Astyanax mexicanus: one gene and its partner. The protein of the gene in region 2 purifies or fractionates together with the protein of the main gene of each other region. This does not show direct contact. Links are inferred from orthologs where the notes say so. Each region holds a gene or a part of one and is shown on either strand. Other genes may lie near its edges.

Evidence for each region.
Region 1: the proteins of usp46 (region 2) and zmp:0000000529 purify together in Homo sapiens (affinity purification with mass spectrometry; 5 studies listed by BioGRID and IntAct, counting the BioPlex papers as one, with this or other methods). This does not show direct contact. The link is inferred for Astyanax mexicanus from reciprocal best matches to the Homo sapiens genes USP46 and DMWD.

What each region holds. Positions count from the first base shown.
Region 1 is NC_064425.1:7,359,158-7,374,695, forward strand, and holds the start of zmp:0000000529 (WD repeat-containing protein 20), read right to left. Parts: upstream 6,028-15,538; 5' UTR 5,749-6,027; coding exon 5,362-5,748; intron 1,470-5,361; coding exon 1,287-1,469; intron 1,175-1,286; coding exon 1-1,174. Other genes in the region: mitogen-activated protein kinase kinase kinase kinase 5-like, read right to left, coding at 10,043-10,139, 10,511-10,637, 11,911-12,003, 12,100-12,168, 13,700-13,877, 15,487-15,538. UniProt on the Homo sapiens protein: Regulator of the deubiquitinating USP12/DMWD/WDR48 complex. Functions as a cofactor that promotes USP12 enzymatic activity.
Region 2 is NC_064408.1:65,037,899-65,053,537, reverse strand, and holds the start of usp46 (ubiquitin carboxyl-terminal hydrolase 46), read right to left. Parts: upstream 5,999-15,639; 5' UTR 5,637-5,998; coding exon 5,601-5,636; intron 1-5,600. UniProt on the Homo sapiens protein: Deubiquitinating enzyme that plays a role in behavior, possibly by regulating GABA action. May act by mediating the deubiquitination of GAD1/GAD67.

The DNA of each region.
Region 1 (15,538 bases), on a different chromosome or scaffold from region 2:
CGTCCAGCCTGTTGCTACGTGGCGCTACGTTGATCTTGTCATTGCTCTTGCTAATGTTCCCGAGGCTATGGTAGCGCTTGTGTTCCTTTTCCCCCCCCACACCGGATTTGTCCGATTTGCGCTCTTGAAGCGATAACGTCGCAAAGCGTCCAATGCTAAATGGGGTGCCTCCTCCACCGCCGCCACTCCCACCTGTCCCTCCGCTCTCTGTTGTCCCCTGCCCTTTGGAGGTGTTCGCAACAGCAGGGTGAGGGAGGGAGTTTGAGCGGGAGAGCGATCGAGGTAGAGGCAGGGGCAGCGTCGGGGGCTGGTGGGGGTTGGTGGGGTGATGGTGACCTTCAACTACTCCACTTCCACTTGTGCTGTTCATCCCTCCACTGATGGAAGGTGGCATGTTTGGGCCGAAGGTGTTCGTGAGTGCGCGGGACAGCGGCAGTCGCGGATAGAGAACGTCGTCCGTAAGATCCCACAAGCAAAACTGTGTGTCCTGTCCGACGGATCCAAAACGGTACGACACGGACGGAGTGCCTTTGGAGCTATGGCGAGACAGACGCGATAGGGTGCTGCTAGTACGCACACGGCCAAAGTTTAGTGGCCCCTGGTGGAGGTCCTCTTCACTGCCGCTGAGTTCCATTGGTTCGTCTTCTTCTAAGCTGGTGGTAAAGGGGTCAAAAGCCACAACGTTGACCCACGACTTATGGCCGTGACCTCGCGCCACCACTCGACTTTCTGCAAACGACCAAACAGTGACCAGGTCATCCTCGCCGCCTGTAGCCAGGTATTTCCCATCCGGACTCCAGGAGACACAGAGCAGGCCACCGAAGTAACTCTTCATGACACCTTGTAGCTCCATAGAGTCGAAGTGGAAGACACGGAGGCAGCCGTCCTGGCCAACGCAGGCTACGTGCACACCATCAGGCGAAAACGCAAACTCATTTAGACCGCCTTCTCCCACGGCCCAGCGCAGTAAAGGGTTTCGAGGTGTCTTGGTCTTGCAGGCATAGACAGCAAACCCCTCACCCTGCCGGAGTAGTGAATACTGCGGCGCTGTAGTGCCACATGGGTGCTCCACATTGTAGAGGTAGAGATGGCCACTGGCATGGGAGGCCAGAAACAAGTTTTCTGATTTAGGCAACCACTTTAGACATGTCACTTTAGTTTTGTCAATTAACCTCTGAAATGCAAAAAAGAAATAAAGAGGCATAAGATTTGAGGGCAGTACTTAAACCTCTTATATTCCGTGAAAACGTAATTGCTTTCCATTTTAAGTTGTATAAAACACATACCTCCTCATTAAAAAGTTTGCTGGTTTCCTTCTTGATAGGGTCCAGGTACTGCACCTGCCCAGCAGAGAAGCCCACAATAAGAGCCACACTGTCTGCAGTGGCTGAATACTGATTAAAATCATGGCAAGTTGGCTGTGTCCCTTTATATATGCGCTTATCGATAGGCTTACTAAGGTCCACTGCCTAGAAAGAGAAAAAGTGGGAGACAAAGAGAGAAAAAGAGAGATGAGGAGGATAGAAAGTTGCATTAGATATTGAAAATATTGAACAAATATGAATAGCACTGAATAAATAAACCAAAGTCCAATGTTAAAAACCTAGATAAAAAAAAAAATGTAATCTTACCAAAAAATTTTACAGTGGACAGGTGCCATTTTTATGCCCTTGTCATATTGTATGTGCAAAAATGACAATGTTAGGGCAAAGCATATCTTTTATTTCTACCCAAATCCAGACTTTGGTTTCTTAAAAGCCAACTGATTTTTTACTATACCCAAGGCTTTCCGTTCAAATACCCGGAAATCTTATCTTACTGATGACTGCCAACAAATCATCTAGACTGGGCTTAAAAAGACAATCACATAAAAAAACTTTCTGGATGCTTTAAACTTAAAACTTTAAAACTTTCTGGTGCATTAAATGTGACTAATGCACATAAAAAATGCAGATTGCAGATATTTAAACAATGCAGATTCAACAATGCATTAACTGAATTACAGGGTTGAAACATCAGTCAAATATTTACTCACTTGGAATAATTATCTCCTAACACACAAGATGCTGATATTTAAGTGAAAACTTCATTATGTTAACCATACCAATTATGTTTTGGTTGGACGCAAGAACTACTAAACATGATCAAAACAATCCAGCTCCAGACCAGCTTTTGTTTTGTACCTGGTTTTGGACTGTGTCATTTTTAAAATCCTAATTGGTGTTAAAAATGTGAGTCAAGAACAAGAAAGGGATATAGGTAAAAGGATGACTGAAAATAATGTATAAATCAGATTCTGGGTTGTGCCTCTGCTTTGGGAGAATATTGCAGAACTATAGATTGGATTACAGACTCAACCCTCAACAGGATCATCAAAGTTAGGGTCAGCTGAACAAACCATACTTTAATGCACCGTAAACTATAGCAAAATAATTCTCAACTAACATTGTGACTAACAGCGTGGCCTCAGTGTTGAAGAAAAAGAAGAGTTAAAGAAAGTTGCTCTGTTTTGTGTGGCTGAGTATAACTATAATGTGGCTGGGTACAGCTGGTCGCATCTGCATTACCAACTGACTGTCAGTAAGATAGGTAAGTAATAAACACAAATGGCCAGTTCCTAACTTAAATTAACACAAAAACAAAATGTAGTGTTATGAACACAATTGTTTTAGTTGATCCGAAAGGACAGATATTTTTTATACATATGAAAAATGAATAATCTTAATCTTTTCTAGTTTCCACAACTGGTGGTTTTCTTCAAAACTGTTTTTTCTTTCTTTCAAAAGGAGTCTGCCTCAAAACAATCTAGTACAGTAAATTGCCTTGAAGTTTTGAGTTTTCACCACTTTATTTTCACTGTGTATGCCAGTTGAAAGGCTATGAACTCAAAACTGTCTACTAATGCCTGGCTTGTACTGATATTATTGAAATCTTATAAGCAAAAATTGTTTATTAAGTTTTCCCAGTAATATGTGCAGTCAGAGAGATAAATTTTGATCAGCGGTGTGACTGACACATAAAATGCCTTCCAGCTATTTTGCTTTATTGATGTGTTTGCAGTTGAAGGACATCTTCCTCAAAATTGACCCTTTTAGCACATATTAAACGCAACAAACATGCATTTAACTGAAATTGCATATAGAAATGTGAAAACAACAGTAATATAATAGTTAGTTATATTTTGGTAAGACTGTGGTTAGTCGTGTATTATGTGTATTGGAATGTCTTCTTTGCAGCTTAGCTAGTTAGCTACATATTGAGCTAGATAACAATACTGAATCTTGGTAGGTTAGTTTACACCAAAAACCGAACTAATAAAATAATACGCAGTAAACATCAAAGTAAAATAAATATATTTAATATTTAGGCACTTGCAAACGTCTGTTTGTTTGGTGGCTGTGCAGATCTGCCCTGTCTTGACTATACTAAGCTAACGCTTAGCTAAAGTGCAAATGCCGCTGCTAGGCAACGCTAAGCTAAACTAGTTAGCCTCTGTTTTATACAGTTTTCAGTGGTTTTCTTATATAGTAGAAGCGTGTATTCCGTCTTTAAAGCGTTAATTACGGTCATTAGATATAAAGCACGAATTAATTTCACGCATGTCAGGTTTACAAATGGTTAAAATCGGCGTGTATTAAGCCTAGTTTATCTTAAGGTGGCCTGACTGTGCTACTAGCGTTAGCAGCGCTTAGCAAGCTAGCTAACATCTCTCACTTGGATTTGTGAGGAACGGTGAGTAGCTAACTAGCTAAATACCATAATATTGCAATATTTTAACTTTTCTGCGCTTTATTGGTAATATGTTATTGTATATTTGAGGAAATGTGTGTTCAAATATAAAGAAGAAACAGGAGGATAAACGCCATGTCAGGTTTATCAGCGGGGAAAGGCTGCATTTATAAAGCTTAGCGTAGCTTAGCTTAAGGTGAACTGACTGGGCTATTAGCGTTAGCAAGCTAGCTAGCTAACGTAGCTAGCTGGCTAACTAGCTAACATATCTGCCTTGGATTTGTGAGGAACAGATAGATAGGTTAGATAGATAACTAGCTAAACACCACAAGATCAGGTTGCTGCTGTACAACTGGGCACTTAATAGAGGCTATGTTAACATCTATGCGCTTTATTAGAGACATTTCATTGTATTTTTGAAGAAAACAGCTTAAAATGTGTTCAAATATAAAAGGAGAAACATAGGGTGAACGTCTAAATGCAAAACACATCCAATTTACACTGAAGAAAGGTAGGTTAGATTAGACCCAAATACTCAAAAAAGTAGTAAAATAGTAAAATAACTAAGACTTGTGAATTTCAAAACGTGCTGCAAGCTGTCTCATATACTTAGCTAGCAAACATGCCTGTGGGAACCAGAAAGTGGTGTTAAACATTGACACCATCTGGGTAATGGTTACACTGCACAAAGGGCCTTGTTAGTTCTTAGATGTCTCAGTTATAACAAATGTAACCCAGCTAATTCACTAACTATAAACCTAGCCAAAACCCATGGAACCCATGGGTATAACACACCTATAATCTTTTACCCATGTGAGCCTCTCATATGGGTACCCACCAGGGTCAGTTATGGTACCAGATGCTAGCTACACTGTCAAAGGGCCTGGCTAAATGGGACCCATGTGACATTAGGATGGACTGTAGCAAAAAAAAAAAAGCCACTGGAAAGCCCAACTGGGTCCAAGTTACAATACATGTAGCTAGGAAACAAGCTACAATAAACCTACTCATACCACCTGGAACACACAGCTAGAATGACAATATGCAAACTATGTGAGCCAGATATTTGGGTGTCTACCAGGGCATATACTGAGCCCAATCTGGGTTACAGATACACTGCACACACGACCTGGTTAAATGGGTTCCATATGAGATCAAGGTAGCAAAGAAGCCCACTTGACACCCCAACTGGGTCCTGTTTACAAAACATGTAATGTTTACTGGTTATAAACCCACCCAGAACCCATCTAACCTAACCTAGATAGACCACGTTCCACCTATGTGAGGGTCAGTTATAGACTACAGCTACATAGCTACACTGCACACAAGGCCTGGTTAGATGGGTCCCAAGTGAGATCAAGGTGAGCTGTAGCAATGTGAACCATTTGGAAAGCCCAACTGGGTCCAAGTTACATCATATGGAACGCACCTAACTAGACAACATTTCCCCCACGTGAGCCAGACATATGGGTGTCCACCAGGGTCAGCAATGGGACCACAAGGGGGTTAAACAAGGGCCCCATCTGGATTGAAGCTACACAGAAGCACCTCAGAACCCACGTTCAACCCCTATGAGCTCTATTTGAGCCTGAATCAGTAGCTAGCTACGTCCCCCACCCTTCCCCTCCGCACCTTTTTGATGTTGGTGTAGGTGTAGAAGTAAAGTTCCCTGCCGATGTTGAAGCACACTCGCTCGGACTCCTCGCTCGGGTCCTCCGGCTGCAGTTTGACCATGGAGACCCGCACCGGAGGAAGAAAGCCAGCCGGAGAGGAGCTGCCCCCGGCCCCCGCTCCGGCAGCTCCAGCAGCCCCAGCACCGGGGCCCTGCACCAGCCCAACGCCGCCCACCGTGCCCGGAGCGCCTGGGGCCGCCGCCGTGCCCGCCCCCCCGGGCCCCCGCGGTAAGCCGCCGCGCTGCTGGGAGTCGGACAGCGTCAGCAGCTTGTAGAAACCCTCCCTGGTCCTGAATTGGGACTTGATCTCATTGATATCCTTCAGAGCGCCTCCATCGCCGGCCATCTTTAGCGCAAGGAAACGCCGACTGCCCGACCTGGAAACAGTGGAGCGAGGAGACTACAGCCAGACGCGGAGCATGAGAGGGTGGGATGCGGCGGACGCGGAGAGCCGCAGCCGGACGCATTTGGGTCGCTGGAGGTTTGTGGAGGAGCTGCCCGGGGTTAAAACGCAAATAAGAGGAAAACACCAGCAGAATCACTGCCTCTCATTCCCCGAGAGCGAGCAGATCCGGCCCTAACGCAGCCATGATGTCATGTGTGAGGCGCGTGTGTGTGTGTGTGTGTGAAAGAGAGAGAGAGAGAGACAGGGAGAGAGATACACCCACCCCACCACCATTCTCTCACTACACCATTCAGAACCCTAGGAGGATACATTAACCCTGATTGATAGCAAATAACATTTAAAGCATACATAAAAATACATTTTTGGTTGCATTACATCTATAAACGGGATAAAAGAAAAATAACCTTTATTTAACATTGCCTAATAGGCATCATCAGGCACAGTTTAAATTCTGACATCAAGTCAACATTCATTAAAAGGCTTTAAAGTATTGAGGCTCTTTTACACTCCAATATTTTTTTTTTCCTATTGTAAAGAAACAATAAGTGTTAAGAGAAAAAAAGTATTAAACAAACCAAAATACCACATGCCGCATTTAGGTGGCTCTTATATGGATGGGATGCTGTAACTCTGATGAATATGCTGTGCCAAAGAGCTCTTTGCTCTTTGCCTCTTGCTCTTTCTTTCCTGGGGCGGTCCTGATGAGAGTCAGTGTCATCATGACGTTTTTGATGATCATATTTTTAAAAGGTTTTGGATTGACTGACCTTCATTTCTTAAAGTATTTTTTCTTTACTTGGTTGATGGATTAGAGCATTACTCAAATATGGCTATTCACTGTATACCAACTCTATCTCTTCACAACTTTACAACAGATGCTCTCAAACACACTAAGAGAGCAAGAAATTCAAGTAATTAACTCTTGACAAGTTCAGCACAGCTGTTAACTGAAACTATTCCAGATGACTCAACCTCATAAAGCTGACTGAGAAAATGCTAAGATGAGCAAAGCTGTCATCTAAGCAAGAGGTGCTATTTTGAAGAGTCTAGAAAATAAAACATATTCTGTTTTTACTCTGATTAACACTTTTTTTGTTTATTAAATATTTCCATATGTTTTCTTTAAAGTGTGGAAGTCAAATTTTACTCAAACCATACATTTAAAACCATAAAATTGAATCAACATTGAATCAAGTTATAAGTGACGAATTATTAAATTCTGATGTTTTAGATCACCATTCCTTCAATGCATTAGAGAAGGAAAAATGAATGTTGATTCAAAGAACCTTAGCTTTTATTATCTAGTTAATTCACAGGTTAGTAAATTAAAAGTGGTGTAGTGCTCTATGGGTGTCCTCACAATGGGATGAACTGTATTTTATGTTGAAGACAAAGTAAAATGTTGTGAGTGAGGGCACAAACACAAAGTTTAAAAACACACGTCCATTCATAAACGTCATTAACTTTTGCATCCATTTATATCTTCAGTTTTAGTCCCATGTACACGCCAAAGTCATAAAATGGATGGGCTTTTTATTTTTTTGTCACGCCCTTCAAACACGACTAGATCTGCACCAAGCCTTACTCAGTCTCGGCAAGTTTAAAAAATGCTAATCTTCTAATGCTATGTTAAGTTTCTGATTCACCAGTGTGTTTTTTAAATCATGTTACAGTGTTCTGGCTGTTTTAGCGCATTCCATGCTTACTAAAATCAAGATCCGGAAAAAGATGGTTATGAAAATTTAATCTTGCCGTATTTTCCCTGCTCCAGCACCAGATCATCAGAAAATTATTTTATTCATTTAATCAGGACAAGCTGTTCATATTCAAGGCATTCATACTACAGAATCAGAGACAGTATAATACAGTATACAATCTATAACTATATTTTAAACAAAAGCTATGCAGTCTAACATTTTAGCTAAAAGCTAACAAGCTAGTCACAACATCACCATGTAGTATGGTACCAGTATGGTCCAGAATTAAATGTTATTTTGTTACATTCCTGCAGTAAAAGTCTGTTTTTTAGTATTTAAGTAAACTAATGCCTTAAGCAGCAATACATTTTTAACTCATACTGGATACTGAATAATTAATAAATATTTAAAATATTTTTCAGAATGGTTACTAAATACCTGTGATGAATTGGTGGCTTGTCAAGGGTATATCCTGCCTTGGATTGGCTACTGCTCCCCCAACAAAAATGTTAACAAAAATGTTAGTTTTTTAATATGCTGAATTTGTAGTACATTGGAGTACATACTTTTAGATTGTCATACACACTAATTCATTGATTCTTAGTAGTTATGTTGTACCCATGTTGGGTCCTTAATAATTCACAGTACTCATTTAAACTACCATAATAATTCATACATTTGTCATTTTTTAGAATGGTTACTGACCACTTAATTATGGATACCTAAATATATACAGTATATACATAGTATATAATGAAAAAACAGTAGTTACAGAATACTTAATTGAATTATAATAGGCCTAATTGGAATAATTTATTGTACACATAATTCCTAGCAGTATATGCTAAAACATTCACATTTGACACTAAATAATTCAAAGCAGTTAAAGAGAATGTACAAAACAAGTATGTTTATTATCAATAAAACACATTATAACATCATCTCACTCTTTTCATCTCAGGAAATGTAAAACTGGCACAGACTGTAAGCTCCTTAGATCTTATCTTCAGATGGACTCAGGTGTAAAACAGGTGAGTGCTGAAACAGTCCCTGTCTCAGGTGTGCAGGGATTCTTCAACACACAACAGATTCACTCCTGCAGATTCAGTCACTGTGTGGGGACTTCTAGAATTATCCTGTGGATAATCTTAATGGAAACACCTCAACCTGACAGATTCATTCATGGAGGATGCAGAGCACTTCTGTAGTAACAGTACTTAGTAGCAGGAACTGTTTAACATGTTACCTCAAATACAGGCAAACACATGTTAAGAGACTATACTTCTTCACAAGGATTTACATTATTTTTTTTGTTAAATGTCTCTTTATTAAAGTTACTAAGATGTAAATAAAGTCATTCAAAAACGTATCTGAACCAGACATTTAAAAACTTTTTAAACCGTATCTGAACCAGACATTTTAAAACTCTCTCAAATATACTGCACCAGATAATAAATACACTGTCTTATGCCTGAATAATTATTACCACAGATTTGGGCCTAAAATCTATTGGTGATGAAAGGATATACAGTACTAGTCAAAAGTTTGGACACATCTTCTTATTCAATGTTTTAATTGTATTTGTTTTCCTACATTGTAAACAAATACTGAAGTCGGAAGGAAAACATAAGGAATCATGTAGTAACTTAAAAGTGTTAAACAAACCAAAATACTCTGTGAAGCATTTAGGTTATTTTATCTGGGGTGCTGTTAACTTGTTTCTGTTTCTGAGGCTGGAAACTCTGATTAACTTATCCTGTGCAACAGAGGTAACTCTTGCTCCTCCTTTCCTGGGGTGGCCCTGATGAGAGCCAGTTTCATCATAACATTTTTAATAGTCTTTGCAACTGCACTTGAGGATACTTTCAAAGTTCCTAAAATGTTTTGGGTTGACTAACCTTCATTTCTTAAAGTATTTTTTTTCTTCACTTAGTTGAGTAGTTCTTGCGATAATATGGATTAGAACATTACTCAAATAGAGCTATTCACTGTATACCAACTCTACCTCTTTACAACTGATGCTCTCAAGAGTAATTAACTCTTGACGAGTTCAGCACAGCTGAACAGTCATTTCAGCTGCCTACCTCATAAAGGTATTTGTGTCCAAACCTTTGACTGATACTATACATTTGGACTATAAATAGACTGTTTTTCAAATGAACTTTTCTGTAAATAACTATTTAACACCCATAAAAAAACAACCTGGAAATTGACACTTTGAATACTTTTCGTTGGTGGCTTTCTGTGAACAATCGGTTGTGTGCTGCAGATGTTGACTGAAATTCCCTACGCAGTGAACCATCCAGAAAGAGTTTTAATTGCCAAACACACTCACAACAAAGCAAAGAGGAAGATTATACACACAAATAATGTGTGTGTGGGTGGAGTCAGCAGAAATGTCCAGTGTTTGTGGTGCACACACAGCTACCTGGCTTCTGTTTGATGTCAGTGTCAGTCCACAGTTGCTGGGTAGGAAAATGGTGTGTATGTGCACATATGTATGATGCCTGTGTGTATATGTTTGAGCGTGTGTGTGTTCAGGGAATGAGAACAAAGTTCTCAGCGATCTCCAGGATGTACAGATTACACATTCCTGATTGGTCTTCGCTCTGCCGTGTCTCTAAGACAACCAGCCTATGGAAAGATCAAAAGATACATTTACACCAATGACAGAATTATGTATAACAATTATAACAGCACTAATTCAATACACTTCTATAATGTTGGAAGTAAAGCAGCTGTAATATATATGGTTTTACATTGTTTCCTTTGAATATGTGACAGTAAGTGACAGTGTGTGAAACTACCTCCACCATGTTTGAGGTTGTTCTTTTTCCTGGCTAGCTCTTACTGTGAGTTGTAGATGGTGAAACTACCTCCACCATGTTTGGAAGTTGTACTTTTGGTAGTCTACATTTGGCAGTCTACACTAGTTTGTGTCCAAATCTCTCTTACAGTACAGAATTTGTGGTGAGTCTGTGATTACTATGTGCATGTGTGTGTACCTGTCTGAGCCAATGAGGCGGAAGGTTTTCCGAGGTTCTGTAATCTCCTGTAGGATTTCTGAGAGGACCTCTCCCCTCCTCTGCCAGCCATGTTTCCATATAGCCAACAACGTGTCATCGAAATATACTAGAAAAAGAGAAATTCATGACTGAATAAAGTTCAATAAATAGTGTTATTAATGCAAGCCCTAAAAACAAACATCAGCACTAGCAAAGTGTGGCTCTGGTTCCCCCTTAAGAGCCTTCAATGTAACAAGACCAGTTAAGGCATTATTTTAGTAATCTTTAGGCGACTCATCAGCAATGTTACTTTATGTTGTATTCTGTTTATTATCGATGGAAATGTTGGGTTTGTGATGCTGCATGTCCACGCAACAAGCACGGTGTATGCACTGTGCCAAGATAGCAAAAAACATCTGATTGTTAACTTCTATCTAGGTTGTATTCAGTCAGTGGAGCACCAGTGGAGTTCCTTTTTTCTTTTGATTTACCTAGCTTTAAAGGTATTTTTGTATGACTGTTTATGTTTGCAGTTATATGCACAAAATTTGCACTTTAGGACAGTGGTAGATTTTTTAAAATAACAACATATTTATTTTGTTATAATATTAATGTTTTACAGAAAATCTTGGCGTCTACCAAAGTTTTGGCAAGTTAATGTGGTTTACGAAACAGACAAGGCTGAGTTTACAGATTTTAACTTTCAGTTAGTTTCAGTCAAATATTTTTAAAATAATGATACATAAGTAAAATATTTTCCTGTATATTCATAAAGATAGATAGATTGATATATAAGGATCATCAATATGTTTTTTTTGGCAAATGTCTTTGTGTTTTTTTTGTGTGTGTTTTTTTAGGTCAGCAGTGTTTTTTGCCTGAAACTCTATGGAAACCTCTTTCTTATTTTTTAATCATTAACACTAATATTAACGGTGGCAGTTGAGGTCTGCAGTTCTTTAGATGTTGTTATGGGTTCTTTTGGAACCTCCTGGGTGAGTTGTCCATGCCCTTTTGGTGTAATTTCGGTAGACTGGCATTAATCAGGCCTGGTTGTGGCTAGTGAAATTTAAATCAGTTTTTCAAAAATGCGTTTAATAACAGTTAATTACTTTTTCACATAGGGCCAAATTGGTGGGAATTGCTTTTTCCCTTAAGAAATTGTATTTACTCAGGTTATCTGTCTCCGATATTACAGTTTGTTTGATCTGAAAAATTACAAATAAAATCATTATAATATAATCATTATGGGGGGAGGAGCTAAAGGCTAGACTGTTACTAAATTAGTGAAAGTAAAAAATGATTTCTATCCATATAGGATGAAAATTAATGTGTTTATGTTTGAATAATTTTGTAATATAAATCCAGTGTAATCCCTTAATGCTTTTACGGTGATGACTTACCTACTGACTCCACGTCTAAAGGAAAGCTGATCTCCATGTGCAGTTTCTTGTGACTCTTTATCGCCCCCTCGAGGTTCACCATGTGTACTGTGTCTGTTCAAACAAAGTACAAAACAGTGTTTCTAATAAAGTGTCCAGTAAGAGGAAGCACAATGTACAAAGTGGTCACTACAAATATGTTCTACTTACTCTCAATGAGAACAAGGAGTGTGTTGCTGTCCAACTGATTAAGCTGAACTTTCTCTGCACTTTGAGCCTCTGAAACACACACACACACACACACACACACAAACAATTCATCATTTAACATGTCTGTTCCTTATACATGTTTGTAAATATTCCCAGAGACCCAGATCACTTCAGTCATGTTTTAGAACTGTATATACATGTTATTAGAGTTTCATTCTGATGGATGCATGAATTAATGAACCCAGTTAAAAAAATAAGACAAAATAACATACTTGGTCATTCATTTATTGTCAAAAATAATCCAATATTACATACTTTTGAAAGTCAAAAGTATGTGAACATTTGCTTTCAGTATCTGGTGTGACACCCCACCCTCCAGCCCCTAAATGTTTCCGCTTGGAGGAATTTTAGCTCATTCTTCCATACAGAACAGCTTCATCTCTTGGATGTTGGTGGGTTTCCTTTTATTAACTGCTTGCTTCAGCTTCTTCCACAACATTTCCACTGGATCAAGACTTTGACTTGACCATTCCAAAACATATACTATATCCTTCTTAAACCATTTTTGATCAAATGGATTGGGCGTCTTAGGGTTATTGTCTTGCTGCATGACCCACCTTCTCTTGAGATTCAGTTCATGGACAGATATGATTAATATGATTCAGAATTACTTGTTCCATCAATGAAAGCTGGCCCAGATGCAGCAAAACAGACCTAAACCACGATACTACCACCAGAGATGGGTTAGAGTTCTTATGCTCGAATTAAGTATTCTCCTTCCTCCGAACATAAACCTTTTAATTATAACCAAAATGTTATATTTTGATCTCATCCTTCCACAAAACCTTCTTCCAATAGCCTTGTGGCTTGTTCACGTGATTTTTTGCAAACTGCAGACGAGCAGCAATGTTCTTTTTGGAGGTTAGTGCTTTTTCCTTGCAATCCATCCATGCACACCATTTTTGTTCAGTGTTCTTCTGATGGCAGACTCATGAATATTCATATTAGCCAATGTGATGAGGCCTTCAGTTGCTAAGAAGTTGCCCTGGGGTCCTTTGACCTTCTCAACTATTACACGACTTGCTCTTTGAGTGATCTTTGTTGGTTGACCACTCCTGGGGAGGGTAACAAATGTCTTGAATTTCTTCCATTTGTACACGTTAATCTGTCTGATCATCTCTAGAGATGGTTTTGTAACATTTTTCCAGCCTGATGAGCATCAACGAATCTCCCTTGTTCATGCCATGATATACTTCCACAAACGTGTGTGAATAGCAGACTTTGAGACATCCCTGTTCTTTAAATAAAACAGGCTCGACCCACTCACACCTGATCTTCCCATTGATTAAAAACACCTGACTCTAATTTCATATTTAAACTGACTGCAAATCCTAAAGGTTCACATACTTTACTATGTAATATTGGATCATTTTAGAACTACTGATGATGTTTTAGGTCATATTTATGCAGAATTATAGAATATTTCTTAAGGATTCACAAACTTCCAAGCAACACTGTAGATACTTTATTGATAATAAAAGTTTAGGAAATTAATATTAATGATATTAGAGCTTCACAGTAGTTTGCTATTATTATTTACCCAGACCAGTGTTGGTAAACCAGGATGTGTTGGAGTTGAGGTTGATGTTCTCCATGTGAACAGGCTGTGAGGGGCTCTGGCCCCTGTTAACTCCGATACACACCATCGGGTACTCCTGCTCTGGCACCACCACCATCTCAAACACTCGCAATGGGTTGGGAAGTGGAAAATCAAAGTGCTGTTGGTTAGGACAAAAGAGATCTGGTCAGGAAGCGGTGTTAGCGTGCTAGCTCTCTACTTTAAGCAACATCATTGTTACTTTAGTCCATGTTTCTAAATAACAGTGACTCATAAAGTGTCAGAAACCACATGAACAAGTCTATTAAATCTATCACTGAAGCCCTGCACATGGTTTATGGACAGTTTGTGAGGATATAGGCTCGCATTAAGCTGTGTTCGATTTCTTGTTGAAACAAGTTTGAGTTGTCTGTAGGTGGTGAAGTAAACAGAGGTCATATGGGGGAGGAGAGGATAAAATGAATAGAGAAGTCAGTGTGTGGTGAGACTTGGTGGGTGATAAGGGCTAAAACGGGTGACAAGGTACAAATGTGTTGCCACTTTTGAGCTCCTGGTTCAAGAAGTTTCCAGGGCAACCACAACCAATCATTTCAGAAAAACGATAAGTTCAGATAATGAGTCTCTAAACCACCAGAATAAGCTGGAGAGCAACCGTTGCTATGCTCATGCACTCATCAATGGTCAATCAGTATGAAGGAAAATGTGATCTTAGTGATTCAGGGTGTGGCATACAGTGGCTTGCAAAAGTATTCATATTCATTAACTTTTTCACATTTTGTCACCTTACGACCACAAACTTAAAATTGTATTTTATTGAGGTTTTATGTGATAGACCTACACAAAGCAGCAAGGCCAAGTGGTTTAACTTTGGTTCCATCTGACTACAGCATCTTCTTCCACATGTTTACTGTGTCCTCTACAAACAGCACTTCTTATGTCTTTCTTTCACAATGCTTTTTTTATTGCCACTCTTCCATAAAGGCCAGATTTGTGGAGTGCACATCTTATAGTTTTTCTGTTAACTAATTAAGTCAATTGATTGCACTGGATTTTATTTAGCGGTTTCAGAGTAAAGGGGGCTGAATAAGTTTGCAAATCATACTTTTTATTTTATTATAATTTAGAAATTATTTTTCTTCCACTTCACAATCATGTGCTTCTTTGTGTTGGTCACTTTAAATCTCAATAGAATACATTCAGTTAGTGACTGTAATGTGATAGAATTTGAATAAGTTCAATGGGTATGAATACTTTTGCAAGCCACAGTAATACCACAAAGGATCTCTATTTTAAAGAACATTTCTTCAGAGTGTATTATAATCTATTTCAAATACAAATGCTGGAAACCAGTATTCAGAGCTTCGACACTGGTGCTCTCATGTGGGATCAGCTCACAATGACCCACATATTAGTGAGCTGTAGGGTTAAAAGGTAATGAGTGCCCATGTGAGCGTGGATGTGCGTAGGAGGTGTAAGACATTTAAGGCGTAAATAAGACACTGGTCAAAAGAACAAAGCACAAAAATGTCAAGGTTTCAAGGTGTCAAATATGTCCTATGTTCCTAAAGTTGCAGATATGTTTTGGATCCATCTAGGCTAAAATTTTGGTGCAAATTAAGATATTTAAAATCATCTTTTGAACCGTTCTTTTCAACAACATCACACATCCAATGCAGCAATTCATTAACTCACAAGTCAAGTCATTTAGTATGATAGGATGTGTAAGGGGGTGGGAGTCTATTGAAGCTAAAAGCGGAAATGCTACTGACCTTTATCAGCATGAACTTGTGCATGGGCTCATACCACTGCAGGAGAACCACA
Region 2 (15,639 bases):
ACGCAATCTTTAATAATAATAAAATGTGTGTTAAATCCTGAGAGCTTAATTGTGTAGGGTTATAGCCTTTTACTGAACTAACTGAGCTGATGTATTTGTTAGCTCCAAATAGCTTTTCTCAGTCGATAAATGGAAGCAAAAAACTTTCTGGGTATTTTTATTTTTCCAAAACTTACCCAGGCCTGGAAATTGCTATTTTCAAATTCCATCTACGTTTTTTATGACCGTACGGACCCTGCTGGAAGGACGTAATCCATGTACCAATGCAGTTTCACACATTTTGTTCAATAGGAATGAATGAGGCGCCAACTTTTTGGAACCTTTTAAATGTATCAGTGATACAAATACTTTTGTAACCCCTAACACTTAATATTGGGTATCACAGCTACCGCTTGAAAACACCTTGGCAATGATCTGAGACACCACAGTAACAACTTCACAACCACTAACTAATATCACAGAAACTGTCTGACATACCATAGGAATCACCTTGCCACACTAGCATCCATCTAGCATCCACTTATATTTACCACAGCAACCACCTGAGATGCTATAGCAACTACTTGTCAACACCTCAAAAACCAACTAGCAACAAGCTGAGCCACCACTTACAGTAGACCACTGCAATCACTTGGAAACCATTTAGCAGCATTGTAGCAGCACCACTGCTGCAATCTTCTGGAATACTATAGCAAGCACTCAGCAACACCATAGCAACCCCTTAGGAACACCATTCTGGGCAACCATTCTCTTTCTTACAGGAATTTCACTTTTCTAGTTAGTTGTGTTAAAATGTTAAAAAAAAAATCTCTGTTATAATATTGACATACTCTTGTATATCTGAAAATCTTTCTGAAATGCAGGCTATGAGAATGGAAACGTAATAACTGCAACAATTGCCTCAGTCATGAGTGCTACATCCACTTATGGACCCAGTACAACCGATTAATTCTTTATCGGACAAAGTCTTGGCCCAGGAAAGGCTATGGAGATGACCGACAGGTGATTGATGTCAAATAGCCACACTGTGCTTTGTGTGTCTGTAATGACCTGAGAAAGCAATCCAGCTTTTATTCTCTCTGAGAGGGAATATAATTCCAGCAAGGCTTCCATTTCAACCTTAGCAGACATTAAGTGGCCACAGACTCAAAGGTATATAAGTATTGCATTGTGCAGCAGAGACATTAGGACTGTAAATGATCTTTGCCTACAGTAGGAGGCATGTTATACTCATACAAGGGCTATTGAGGTAGCACCAGTTCAAAGGCTTAGAAATAGAACAGTATCATTGTGGAATGGCTATGAATGGACACGCTGGTATGCATTGGTTTTGTAGCAGTTTATGTGTGTGTAGACTTTTTGTCTACAAGAACCAGAATGCTGGACTTTCTTTCTTTCTGTTGCTGCTTCAGCTGCAGAAACAGGGCTGCACAATAGGGAATAAATGATATATGTTTGTTATATTGTGGGGTGTTGATAAAACTCGAAATCTAACACTTTATCAGCAAGCAAATTAAGTCAAAGGCAACATTAAGACAACATTAGACAGTGACATTACACACATGTCTAGAAAAAAGCTAATCTGATACACAGCTCCAGCTTCAGGTTATGTTTATGATTACATATTTGCTTTGGCGTTACCAGTAATAAAAAGGTCATTACATACTATGTGAAGCCAAACCAATGAGAGCAGTTTCCCAGACAGAGATTATACCTAAGTTTGGACTACAAAGGTTTTTGAATCTAAAAAGATTCTCCATCTCTGGAGATTCTCCATTGAAAAAAGAATATAGTGAACGCTTATAGTGTAAGATTAATCCCTGTCCAGGAAATAATCCTATCAGGAAATACTTGAGGAGAACACAAACACATAGTGATACACATACTTTAACGAGACCCCAGGCCAGGCCTGATCATGTTAGATATCTCAATTAGATTTTCAATTAAAAACTAAAAGACTACAGCACTCAGCAGTGTTACACAAACATTAAATGGCTTTAAGCTCATTGAGGCCTGAAATTACAATATGGGTTTTAAAGATACAGACAGCCCCAGCTTTATAAGCATTACCATTCAGGACACAGCACCCATCACTGTAGCTGTAAACACTGATGCACTGCATAAAGCAGCCACATCTCTCATAAACGAACAAGTGGCAGCCGATAGTTCCATGAGCAACATTAAAGGGCAGTCTGGTCTGTGCAAAGCATGGATGCTACCATACATTCCATTAAATTATGCATTAAACATATCCTATTCACCGCCATCACAGACACATTACCTGCACTCACCATCTGCCTGTCTGAGTAAGGACTGTAATACTGGGCAAATATTCTGGGTTTCACACTGTGTTGCACTCGAAAAGACAAGAAGAACTGCCAAAAGTCTACACTGAAACATAAGTACTGCATTATGCAAAATATGAGTTTATTTTTTAGAACACTGAAAAACAGACAGTGCCAGAATTTACAGAACTATCATTAAAACTAAGGAATATCTGTAAAAAAAAAACAAAACAATAACAATAAAGTATTGCTGACAAACAACGTCCTCCGTTTAATGCTACCAGCACCATGTTTGCAAGAAATCATCACACAGTGCTGATGTATGATGTATGAGAATAAAGTGACACTGCTATTCAGTTTTCAATTAATGTGTAATATAATAGTCATAACATATTGGTGTAATTCTTGGCAAGAGGTTTGTTTTAAGCTCTTTATGTGTATTTTAATCCTTAGATCCACAAATATAAAGTTTGCTTTGATAGAGCAAATCTACAAAATGCACAAACTAAATAAACTTTCATATCTGGAAATCATCTGCCTGATTAAGGTTACGTTTGCTACTGTGTGATGCTCTTTACAAGCTGACCAGATCAAAACATCACAAAATGCAGTGATGCTTTAGTAAATATAGTGATACAGTTTTTTTTTAATCATATAGTATTCCTGTCCTGCAGAATTGCTTCTACATTCCTGAAACATTTATCAAAATAGATAAATGTGAAAAAGATATTTGATCATACATATGTAAGCAGAGAATCTGATGATGAGGCTTGCTTCCTTTGAACAGGAACTGAACTGCCCTACAAGATGGATTTTCAGGAAAAGATTCAGGAAGCAGTCTTCTCATCTAGTGAAACTTGAGAAATACTTTACTGAAAAAGAAAAAAACATGAAAAAAAGGCTTTGCAGTCAAATGGTCTGGCAATGTGTACAGATTAAGAACTCTCTCTGCTTGCTGCAGGCTGTCAGCTTGGCTCGCTGCTTAACTTGCTCTGGCACTTCACCTGAGCCTGTGCACAGCAGGTCGCCACACATCACTCAGATCAGTTGAGTTTAATAACTGCCAGACAGCTTAACGATCAGACAGCGCCAATGACTGAGCACTGACCTGAGCCCTGTCTGACTTTTCTATTATTCATTTAAAAAACTCTGGATTATATTGGGAGTTTCTGATGTTGACATGTCTGCTTTGCAGCACCTGTGATGGCCCCGTAAGGCTGGTTTGCGAAGAAACTGTTTACTATGAAAACAATCCAAGCTTACTGCATAGAGCATATAGGTATAGCTAAGTTTATCACATTGGTGTGACTTGTACACCTCAGAGATGTTCAGGTGTGTAACTAGCTAGTCCACTGTCTGGTCTGGAGTTCTTAATGACAGTCACAGTTTGCTAGCTACAGTATGAAAAAGAAACACGGGTAATCCTAATGAAATTCTCAAATTCAAATGTGAGTTTCAACTTATTGCTGCAAATAATGAATATTTTGTTATCTTACTAATCTGATAATCTTTTTTTTTCCAAATAGTCGATTAGCCACCGATTTCTGCCACCCTCTCACTAAGTTTTATCTCCCATGTTCAAGTCTGTGCACTTGTGAATGTCACCCTGTTTTCCAGTCTCTACCTTAACATTACACAAGTTTCCATAGGAAATTAAAAAATAACCGATAAAACGTGAATATAAACTAAGGCTTAGTAGCTTAAGCAAATGTAACTGTTTGAAATATCCCGCCCCTTTGCCTTTTAGTCCCAGCACTTTCTGTAGTGTGGTGCATTTACAAACAATTACTCAATATTTGGATCCCTAGTTTCAATGGATGTCAATGTGGCTCTTCATGTCTGCCCATGCATAACATGCATGACCACAGACTCCATAGGTCAAGCTTGTTAAACTGGTTTTCAGCAGCATAGGCTTAGTTTTAGTTTAAGTACTATGGTTTAGCTGATCTATAAGCAGGACCTGACCAGGTTAGACAACCAGTATGATCAAGCTTGACCATTATGGATGATCAGCATGCCCAACCAGAATGACTAGCCTGCATATCCAAGGACGGCCCAAATGCAAAAATCAACAGCAGGCTGGTCATGTTTTCGCCTGGATGTCCAGCTTTTCAACCACCTTAACCCCCATTGACCGCTTAGACAATCTGAAACCAACTACCAGCAACAAAAACTGGTTTTGAGCTGGATTTCTCAAGACAGTCATCATTCTCCTCCTTCTTTGACAGCAAAAACTGCCTTTTGGATTTCCACATTTGCTAACTAACCTTATATGTCACTGTAGTTGTGAACTAGCTCATACAACTTCCATTAAAGTTAAGGATTCAGGTCTGTGGGAGTAAAGCTAGGATATCTAGCTAGCCAAGTTAACATCTACTGCAGATGTAATTTTTCTATTTTGCATATTACCATCTATTTGCACTGCTCTTATAGTGTATATCCTTATTTGCATTTGCATTGCTGCTCCTAGTACATGCATACTGCATTTCTCTCTCTATATATATTTACAGCTCTGGAAAAAAATAAGAGACCACTTCAATTTCTGTATCAGTTTTTCTATGATTTTGCCATTTATAGGTATACGTTTGAGTACATTGAACATTGCTGTTTTATTCTATAAACCACTGACAAAGATGCAGAGCTTTCAGACCTCAAATAATGCAAAGAAAATAAGTTTATATTCATAAAATTTTAAGAATTCAGAAATCAATTTTTGATATAATAGTAACCCTGGTTTTCACAGCTTAACAGCTTTTATATATCTTGGCATGTTCTCCTCCACCAGTCTTACACACTGCTTTTGGATAATTTTATGTCACTCCTAGTGCAAAAAATTTAGCAGTTCAGCTTGGGTTAATGGCTTGTGATCACCCATCTTTCTCTTGATTATATTCCAGAGGTTTTCATCATTTTTAAGTGGTCTCTTATTTTTCCAGAGCTGTATACTGCACTTCTGGTTAGATTCTAGCTGCATTTAACAATAAAGTTTAATCCATTCTAGTTTAACACTACCTGACCTAGGTTAGCTCGCTAGCTAGGTTATATTAATGGCCCAACCAAGCCAGCAACTCCTTATTAACCTCTCCTAACCTACATTTGTCCTAATAGAGAAACCTACGCAGCAGGGAATCTGCACGTTATCATGTTAGCTGGACGGACAGCCCCTGCACTTGCTCCCGCTCCCCGGATCAACTCGAGCCTCGACATCAGCATCCCTGCAACCAGGCAAAGCGCTCAGCTAGCCAGCTAGCCGGTGACTAGCATTCATGCTAGGTTAGCTAACCTATCAATGGGTGCAGAGCTCCGTGTACTCACCATATTACAGATGGAGGCGATGTTTCTGACAGTCATTTAGTTCACAGGGTTCCCCTCGCCGACATCTTCATAAAACAAACATCACTGGAGAAGCTGCAGAGCTGAGAGCTGTAGATGATCCGCAGCCCAGCTGGACCAGGAGAGGCCAACCGCAGTGCCTGACGAGCCCTGACTCACAACACACTGATATTATAACGTTACCCCCTTAGAGCAGTGTTTTTCTCCACTCAGAGCCAAACAAACCCCCCGTCTAAAAGACAAACATCTCCAAAACAAAGCTCAATTCATTTTAGTCGCTAAAATCGAGCCGTTATTTTGAAATTCTGAGAGAAATCTGCAGTAAACATCACTGCTCTTGGCAGGTAACCTAGGTTAACTAGCCAGCTAGCCAGTCAGGACGCCCCGCCCACGCCCCGCCCACTCTGACGGCGAGCCGCTTTGAAGTTAGGGTAACCAGGGCTGGCTTTACTGTGATTGACATGCTGTTCCACCAATGAGAGCCATGGATCCAGTTCCGCAAACGCCCAGTGTTGTACACTGTAGCCAATGAGAGAATATTCATTCAGGAAATTATTGTGTTTTTAAAATGTGTCAAATAAACTACATATTAATTTCTGTTTATTATCGAATTATACTTATATTTAGAATACAAAAAAGGAAACGTAATTTTAACGTCTACTTTTAAGAATAAAAAAAATGTAATTACATTTATCTACTTTTTATTTTAATTACTTTACTTTAAACAAGCGTGTAAAATAAACATGACAGTAAGCTAATTATATTAAATATGTGTTGTTCATCAAGGATGTGAACAGTTAGTTTAGCTAACATAACATATGTTATTCAGAGGAGTCCTCTGTATGTGTGTAGTGGATCCAGCGCGTGCCTGTGTCTTTAAAAGTCCCATAATCCCCCTCTCTCTCCTCTCTGCTCGTTTCTCCCTCCTCGAGCCTGACTCTGGTCTTTCTGTTCTGCAGCTGAGAGCAGATGGAGCTGTGTCTTAGGGCGTGTTTGGAAGGTGAGAGTTTAGAATACCAACATTCATGCTGTGTTTAGATGTTAAACCTGTTATCAGATCTGCATCATTAAATCAGCTGCGGTTAGGTTTCATATGGATATATTTGTTGACTAGAGAAGTCAGAAATGTGCTGCTAGCTCTGGTAGTTAGCACTGCTAAATACTTCTGGTTAGATTATCGTTAGAGTATCTTGTTAGCTAACTAGTTAACTTAACTTAACTAAGTTATTGTTACTTAAACTTGTATTGGCTGCATGTAAGTGCGTTGGAAAAGTTTTATATTCTAGGCTGTAATTTTTTTAAACCCCATGAACACGTGGGAGTTGTGTGGTTGGGCCTACTTTATTAGCTACCTAGCGGTTAGCTTACCCATGTGGTACAGGTAGTTAGCTTACTACAAGATTTACGTTTTTATTAATTCCACAGAAACTGTAAACTATTGTCTACTGACAATAGTTATAATTATATTTATAAATATAATTATCTTGGTTTTGTCATTTGTGTTCGCAGTCTTCATGTTACTTCAATGCCTGTCCTTTCTGATATTCTAGGTTGGAGTTCTGAACCACCTGGTTAAGTGGTTTTTGAAGCTTTCAATGAGCACTACAATGGTAACTGCAAAGGTTAGGGTGTTTTTATTTTTATTTATTTAAAATCGAGATACATACCCCCTCAGTGGAGCTCATTTAAGACCATGCATGTCCTTAATGATCAATATACTAGGGGTAAAAAAAAAAATCTCTCAAAAACCTATGGCACAGGTTATAGTCCTTGCTGTGGATCCTGTCGGGAGAAACATGTCTAATAATTGACCTAAAAGTTTTAATAGTTAATCTTCTAACAGTAGCTGATTTTAAATGTGATTTCTTTTTCTTTTTTTCTTTTCTTTTTTTGTCATCTTTTCAGAAGTGGCTTGCAAGTGTGGATTCAGGCTGGAATAATGCCCTCTACACAAAACCTCAGGTGAGTCTTAGTTTTTGCCTTTAAATGACATTTTAATCTGAGTCATTCTTACTTCTCTGCATGTGAGGTAGTTTTTCAAATTTGATATGGTCGTTTACACAGGAAAGCTGTCCTGGTTTGTAGTTGGAACCCAGCACTTAGTAGGTAAAATTAACTGCTTAAGAGAGAAAGCAACAAGACTAATCAAATTTAGTAATGTTTTGGAAACATGCACACAATTATCCCCTTTATTGCCCATTTAGGACTGGCCATGTCTTAAATGGATAACACAGGGGGGTAGACTAATTCTCTCAAAAACCTGAAGTGAAGGCTTAATATTCCTTGCTTCGGATCCTGTCGGGAGAAACATGTTTTTATACGCATTAAAAATCAAAGATTATTACCAGTGACCATTCTAATGTGATTGCCTTATGTTTGCAGATAAGAGGTATGCAGATGTAGCCCCTGTCTGAAATGGGAGGTGTCTTGCACAAAGCTGGTAAGTCCTTTTAGAAATTGAGCTTTAAAGTTGCTTATACTTGTTTATCCCCTTTATTGCCCATTTAAGACCAATTATGTCCTAAATGATTAACACAGGGGGGTAGAAGAACTCTCTCAAAAACCTGAAGTGAAGGCTTAATATTCCTTGCTTCGGATCCTGTCGGGAGAAACAAAGTTTTCTTAAATACATTGCCAATTTTCTCAGGTTTGAATTCCTCTAAACCACCTTTATTTACAGATGCTGGAAAGACATGTGGATTGTGGCTGTTGCAGTAGGTGACCAGGTCAAGTTAGTCAGGTAAGCAAATTAACTTTTTAAAGGAATTAAACGAAGTTTAATTTTAAAGTTTAATCTGTTCATGCTCTAAGTTTCTGTATCTAGTGGTCATTGATTCTGTTACAGACTTTAGGGTGAGTGGGGGAAAGTCTGAAACTTAAAGTTCTTAAATGTCAAATCTGTTGAACCCCAGTAGACTATTACTGAATTTTGGTGCAAGATAAATCTGATGCTTTGTCTATATAATCCATTTCTTTTCTTTACCAGAATCTGCCTTCTGAGCCCTTGGATGCAGTGGAGCCCTGTTGATGCTACAGCCTTGACATTTGCCACAGCCTGTAATTTTAGACCAGAGGTCTTTTGCTCTGACCTTAAATCTAGATTGGAAAGTGCCATTATTAAAAGAGAATGAGAAGTTGAGTAGTGTGGGATATTTATTTTATTTTATTTTTTTATTTTTAAAATAATTAGTTTCTCCTTTTCTACCTCAATGTATTTTTCTAAGGTTTGATTGAAATTATTTCGTTGCCCCTTATACATTGACTTGTACAGCTTTGTATAACTTATGCTTTGCATGTATATGCTGTTATCATTACGGTTTTATTCCAAAGCCTATGATCAGACAATGTCTACGTAAAAATAAAGTAATGCTGGAACCTCAGTTGTGCCTGTGTATTTCTGATGGGCTTATAAACCTGGCTTGCAAATTGAAATATTTGTCCTTTCAATAAGGTAGGAGTGCAAGATGTGTAATGTAGTGACTTAACATCATGATGCTAAATTTATTAATCATGTGCTAGCAAAAATGTCAAAGTGTACAGTACTAAATGGTACTGTACTCAGAATCTTCTCTTTAGAATTATTGCCATTCTCCATTATTGATTTTAAAACAGTGTCTTTTTAATAAATGTTGTATTTTAGTAGTGTAAATGCTTAGCATTGTCTTCAAAAGCCATTTTTAGCCGATCCTGGGCTCGAAAGCAGCTTTCACACTTGATCAAGTGTACCTACAGAAAAAGCACACATGGGCCCAAAAGAAGAGCCTTGATCACAAGTGATTTGAAAAGGGAGAAGCACTCACTGTGTTGGGCCCTAGTGGTGAATACACTTAATTATGTGAAGCTCTTAATCATGGTAAGGAAGCCTATGTACTGATTAAAAACAGATTGTGGATTTGTGCATGCAAGTGACCAAAATGAACGCACATCTACATCCCAAAGCTGGTCTTACTTTTTGTGATGAGGGAAGCTAGGTGTAGAGTTGCTGCTCCTTTGTTTTGAGGGGAGTCAGTTGAAGCGGATTAGGAATCTGAAAAGGATCCCTAGTCAATTTCTAGTGGAGGTGTATTCAGTCTGACCACCTGCTATGAGACACAAGGGAATGCTGGGGATGTGGTAGAGGAAGGAAGTGGTAGTAGAATGAGCTGGGAACAGGGTTGTCTGGGTCTGGGCTCTTTTCTCACCTTAATTTTACTGCAACCATGAAATGGATCAAGCGGATAGGAAGATTTATAAAGAAAAGATTAAGAATATGTGGATCCCAATTACAAGCCTTACATTGCCTATCATGACGTTTTATAAATGCTTATTAGAAACTTAAAATGCTTGACCCCTACTTCTGCCATAATCTGCCCCACCCAACGCACTGATCTCTTGTCTGGCTGAACGAGCGCTCTTACAGTGCAAATTAAGTTCAAATTCAGAAATCCTCTGAACCAATTTTACAGTCCAGTTTATTATGCATTCTTTATTTCAGCACCCTACGTTGATTTTATCTCCCCTCAAACATACAAGTATATACTATTATTTTGATTGACATTATCAATATACATATAATTGCGTTCTTTCTTTGATTTACATTTAAATATCCACTATAAAAATATACATCAGAAGAAAAATAAATGCGTTTAATCGCAGTTAATCACAGAATTTTGTTGTGATTAATCTGATAATTTTTTTGAATCCATTGACACCACTAAAAAATATACTTACCTGGTTGTTGTCCTTTGAGGGTCTTTCTTCTTATTCTTCTTTTCCTCGTGAATGGCGGTTGACAACGACTTTGGTGTATTACCGCCACCGCTTGACTGGAGTGTGGAACAGTAGCTGCCTCTTCTAAGAAATGAAATGCGTCTAATTAGACCTGTCTCTTACAGAAAAGTAAATAAAACAATATAAAATCTTTCCAATATTTCTTTGTAAGATATTTTTTAGACTGAATGCTGTGTCATTGGCCTCTACTTGTTCAATCAGAGTCTGTCTCTCTTGCTGGAATTTCCTACAGTGAATTAGGACATGCTCTACAGTTTCTGGGCTTTCCATACATTATTCACAGGTACCATCAACATGCCTGTTCATTCTAACAAGAGTGCTGTTCAGCCTACTGTGCCCCACCCTCAGTCTGGCCAATACCACTTCCTCTCATTTTGTACCTTGGGGGTCTTTCTGGGGAATGGTGGCCATCTTAACTCCCCTTCTTGTAGTATCATGGTGCTCCGTATGTACTACAAGATGGGGGGGACTTCTTATTGGAACACCTGGGGGAGAGAAAAGTTAGTACAAAAATATGTTAATACTTACCATCTAGTGAAATTTCCAAAAATCTGTATGTAAGTGTGGTGTAAATAATGTCGACATTGATGTATATTTGTGTGTGTTTGTATATATTTGTGTGTGTATACCTTTAAGTAACCCTACATAACCCTGTAGTAATGGTATGGCCCAATTGAGGAAGGGGCGGAGCTAGAGGTATATGAGGGCAGGTAGAGACACTTGTGGGCAGGGATTAATTTTGTCTAAAGCACTGCTGATTAAAAGGGCTAGTATTTGCTTGTGTGGAGTCCTGTGTTTATGGTCAGATTTGACCAGTTTTATTTCTTTTTGTACAGAAAACGCCACTTTGGTGTTGGAATTGACCTGAAGGTATTTTGGCTCTTCTTTCTGTGGCGAACCCCGCTTTCTCCCCCCCAATTATAATGCTCAAAAAGATAGAACATCAGCTAACACCTTATAAAATGTATACACAATATTGAAAAAAGAAAAACAAAACACCATTACCTTGGATCACCACAGACTTTTTTTTTGATCCCGCTGTCCACTACCTAACACTCACCTCCACTACCACAAGGGAAACCTTTTTACAAGGACGAGGACAAGATTAATTTGGACCTTCAATCCTAACCACCTTACGCTGAACAATTGAGATGACAGGACCGCAACTTAATTCTAGCAAGACTTTTATGATTTTATCCTGACACTGGAAATTTGTTTGTAACAGTGAAATTGCTTAAAATCATTTGGTGTAAGAATATTAAAAGTTGTCCTTTGGTCAGCATACTGTTCACACATACAAATCTGCAAAAACACAAAGAAAGAGAGAAAGTGTGAGGGCTATTTCAGGGCAGATCAGATCTGTTAGACTGGAGACCTCCATGACTGATCTGTCACTACTTCAGCACCGCTAAACTGCAGAGCTGTGTGTGTGCAATACCAACATAAACCTCCCCTGGTGTCCTGTCTTTGTAACACCATAACAAGAGCACTAAGACTGTACCTGTACACTCGTGAACGTGCGGGAACATCCTGGCTAATGTACTGAGAAGGTCATTGAAATGATTTTTTTTTTCAAGCAACACCAGTTTAAAAGAATGCTGGATGTGTAAAGGAAAGCTGGGAATGGGCAGATATGTCTGGCTGTTTGAAGTTGTCCAGGATGTACCAGTGGTTTATTTGAGAGCTCTGAGATTGGCAGCTCCACACACGCTTTGGTTTGTTTTGAAATTCTTTTGACTGACAGCTGAACAATTAGAATGGTTGGAGACAGTGTGTCTCTGCAGTACACTCTGTTCAGAGCAGCCCGCTTTCAGACTGCATTGTAATTTGCAATGGTTGTGGATGACCTGTTATTCCCCCTTTTAAGCATGTGAATGTAATGCATTAATGCAGAAACCTTCTCGCTAGATTTTGCTCTAAAGTGCAAAGTGATGTTGAGCACAATGGAGGAAAGGAGAGAGTACCCTAGGTACTGTAAATAGGAGATATTGAGTATATAGGAGAGAGTACACCAAGTACATGTTCTGGAGCAGCATTTTTCTTGTGTGCAGAATATCCAGCTTTACAGTATGTTCTAGCCTAAGCCTACACATATGTATTTTACATACACAGTATAGCCAAAGGCTTTTGAGGAAAGTTAGTATGTTTTTGTTTGTAAACCACATTGAGGTGCACATTGAAATCTGCCGTGATTTGTTCAGCCGTGGTTTTATGTTTTTTGGATACAATCCGGGTTAGCACCCGAACATCCCTTTCAGACAGCTTCCTCCTGCGTCCACAGTTAATCCTGTTGGATGTGGTTGGTCCTTCTTGGTGGTATGCTGACATTACCCTGGATACCGTGGCTCTTGATACATCACAAAGACTTGCTGTCTTGGTCAGAGATGCACCAGCAAGACGTGTACCCATAGTTTGTCCTCTTTTGATATGTCACCCATAATGTTGTGTGCATTGCAATATTTTGAGCAAAACTGTGCTCTTATACCCTGCTAATTGAACCCTCACACTCTGCTTTTACTGGTGCAATAATGTGCAATTAATGAAGATTGGCCACCAGGCTGCTCCAATTCAGCAATGAAACCTCCCACACTAAAATGACAGGTGTTTCTGTTTTATTGTCCAACCCCTGTATATTATGATGTGGGAAAAAAACATCTAAACAGCTCTACAGATCTAGTGCGAAACTATTTGTCCATTTTTGTGTGCTTTACTGGTCCTTGTCATGGTAAATAAGAAAAGTCTCTTAAATGACTATGATTATGATTATTAGAATCTAAATCTATTGTAATGGTAACTCTAAATACTGGGCTTCTATGCTTGCTATGCATTTTGTATTCTCCCTTGCTATTTTAATAAATTTTGTTTTTGTACAGGAATCATTTTTTTGAAAAATATTTTACAAACATCTGTCCTCCACAGCTAAAAGGTTCAAGAAAGGTTAGCCTGTAATGTGTAACAAAATAAAGGTTTGTATCACAATGTTATTAAAACATTGATCTCATTACATTCCCAGCTAGACAAATAATAATGTTATGGCAACGTTAAAGGTAAAATTCCCAAAACAGCAACAAAAAAGTCTAAACATTGACGCAAGTGCCGTTGCACAGACGTTACCAGAACGTTCAAATATGTTAAAAAAGTTCTAAGAACATCCAGAAAACTAGACCGATTGAACATTCTAAGACAGTTAACTGTAACATTCAGATTTTTTTGGTACTAACAAAAACTTGTTAGCTGGGTCATTATCAGTTGTTCTTATAAAGAGATTTAACTTAAACCCCACAATTTTTATGTCTTTCTTATTTTGAGATTTTTTTTATCAGTTTATGAGATAACAGAATATATTATTGTAAGATCAGAGCTATGTACAATTCTGTGTTTTTAAAACAAATAATTTAGTTTTAGACGTTTCACTCAAAGACCCCTTTATATACAGTACCAGTCAAAAGTTTGGACACATCTTCTCATTCAGTGTTTTTATTATTTCTTTTTCTACATTGTAAATTAATATTGTTAATTTATTCAGTTACCCAGAATATGAAGGAACACATAAGATATTATGTTTTAACTTAAAAGTGTTAAACAAACCAAGAAATAGGCTGTGAATCATTTAGGTGCTCTTATCAAGAGTGCTGTTAATTTGGGATTTCTAAAGCTGGTAAATCTGATCAACTGATGAACAACAGAGGAAACTCTTGGTCTCCCTTTCCAGGGGCAGTCCTGATGAGAGCCAGTTTCATCATAACATTTTTAATATTTTTTGCGACTGCACTTGAGGATACTTTCAAAGTTCTTGACATTTTTTTAATTGATATTCTTCCCATAATCTGGATTAGAACATCACTCAAATAGAGCTATTCACTGTAAACCAGCTCCACCTCTTTACAACTGATGCTCTGAAACACATTAAGAGACAAGAAATTTAAATAAATTAACTGTTGACCAGTTCAGCACAGCTGTTAACTGAAAGCCCTTTTAATGTGACTCTACCTCATAAAACTGACTGAGAAAATCCAGCCAAGATGTGCAAAACTGTCATTTTGGCAAGAGGTGCCTTACTTTAAAGAATCTAAAATATAAAACATATTCTGGTTTGTTTAAAAACTTTTATATTTGCTAAATAATTCTATATGTTGTTTTTCATAGTTTGGATGACTTTAGTATTAATCTACAATGTAGAACATTTTTTTAAAAATAATTTTATTTCAATTTTTTTCTCCCAATTTTCTCCCCAGTTTACTTATTTCTTACCCAACCCACTATTTAGGACTCCCCCTATCACTAGTGATGACTAGCAAATGCCTCCTCCGACACATGTGAAATCAGCCACCGCCTCTTTTGAAACTTTTTTTTTTTTAATTACTGAGTAGCATCAACTCTTTTTAAAAATTACTGAGTAGCATCACAGCACGCTTGGAGGTAAGCGCAGCAACTTGTTTCTGATACATCAGCTCACAGACGCCTTGTGCTGATCGACATCACCCTCTGGAGTGATGTGGGGAGAGAACGCCATCTACCCACCCAGAGAGAGGAAGACCAATTGTTCTCTCTCAGGGCTCCGGTAGCTGATGAGTACATATTTTAAAAGGTTTTAAGGTACTGTATAACCCATTAAGACTGTATTTTTTTTATTACAACAGACAATTTTGACACTTATTATAAAAAGTTATGAATTTATTGTATGTGGTACTATTTAGACTAATACAATTATTATGACACATGAATGGAGAAGTCTTATAAAGTACATACAGTAGAAGTCATTTTAGCATTTGCATTGCAGCCATATTTTATTTTTACAATGTTTTGTTTTAACAGGAGTGATAGTTTTGAGTAATACTCAGGGTTTAGACTGTAATGGAGGAGTGGGAGCTTGGCTGGATTGTTCTGGGCTGGGCTGGCAGTGACTTGTTTTGCTGCTCTGGGTTGGGTTACTGTGGCATGTTTCAGCGCTGGGTTTTGATGTGTTTAGATGGAGGGGGTCAAGCTCAGGTTACGCTGCACGTTTTTGGCAGAGAAAAAGGGTCACTGTGGGGGATCAGACCTGAGCATCCTGGACACCTTTGTGAGGAAAAACAATACAACATATTTGACTCACACATACACACAGACAAAACATAAAACACCCTGTGACATAAAAACACATTTACAAGGAGACTACAGCAACCATAGTACTTTATTAAGAACACATGTGGCATTAGTAGTACTCGCTATTATGTTGATATCTTTTATTCTAATACATAACACAAGCTTC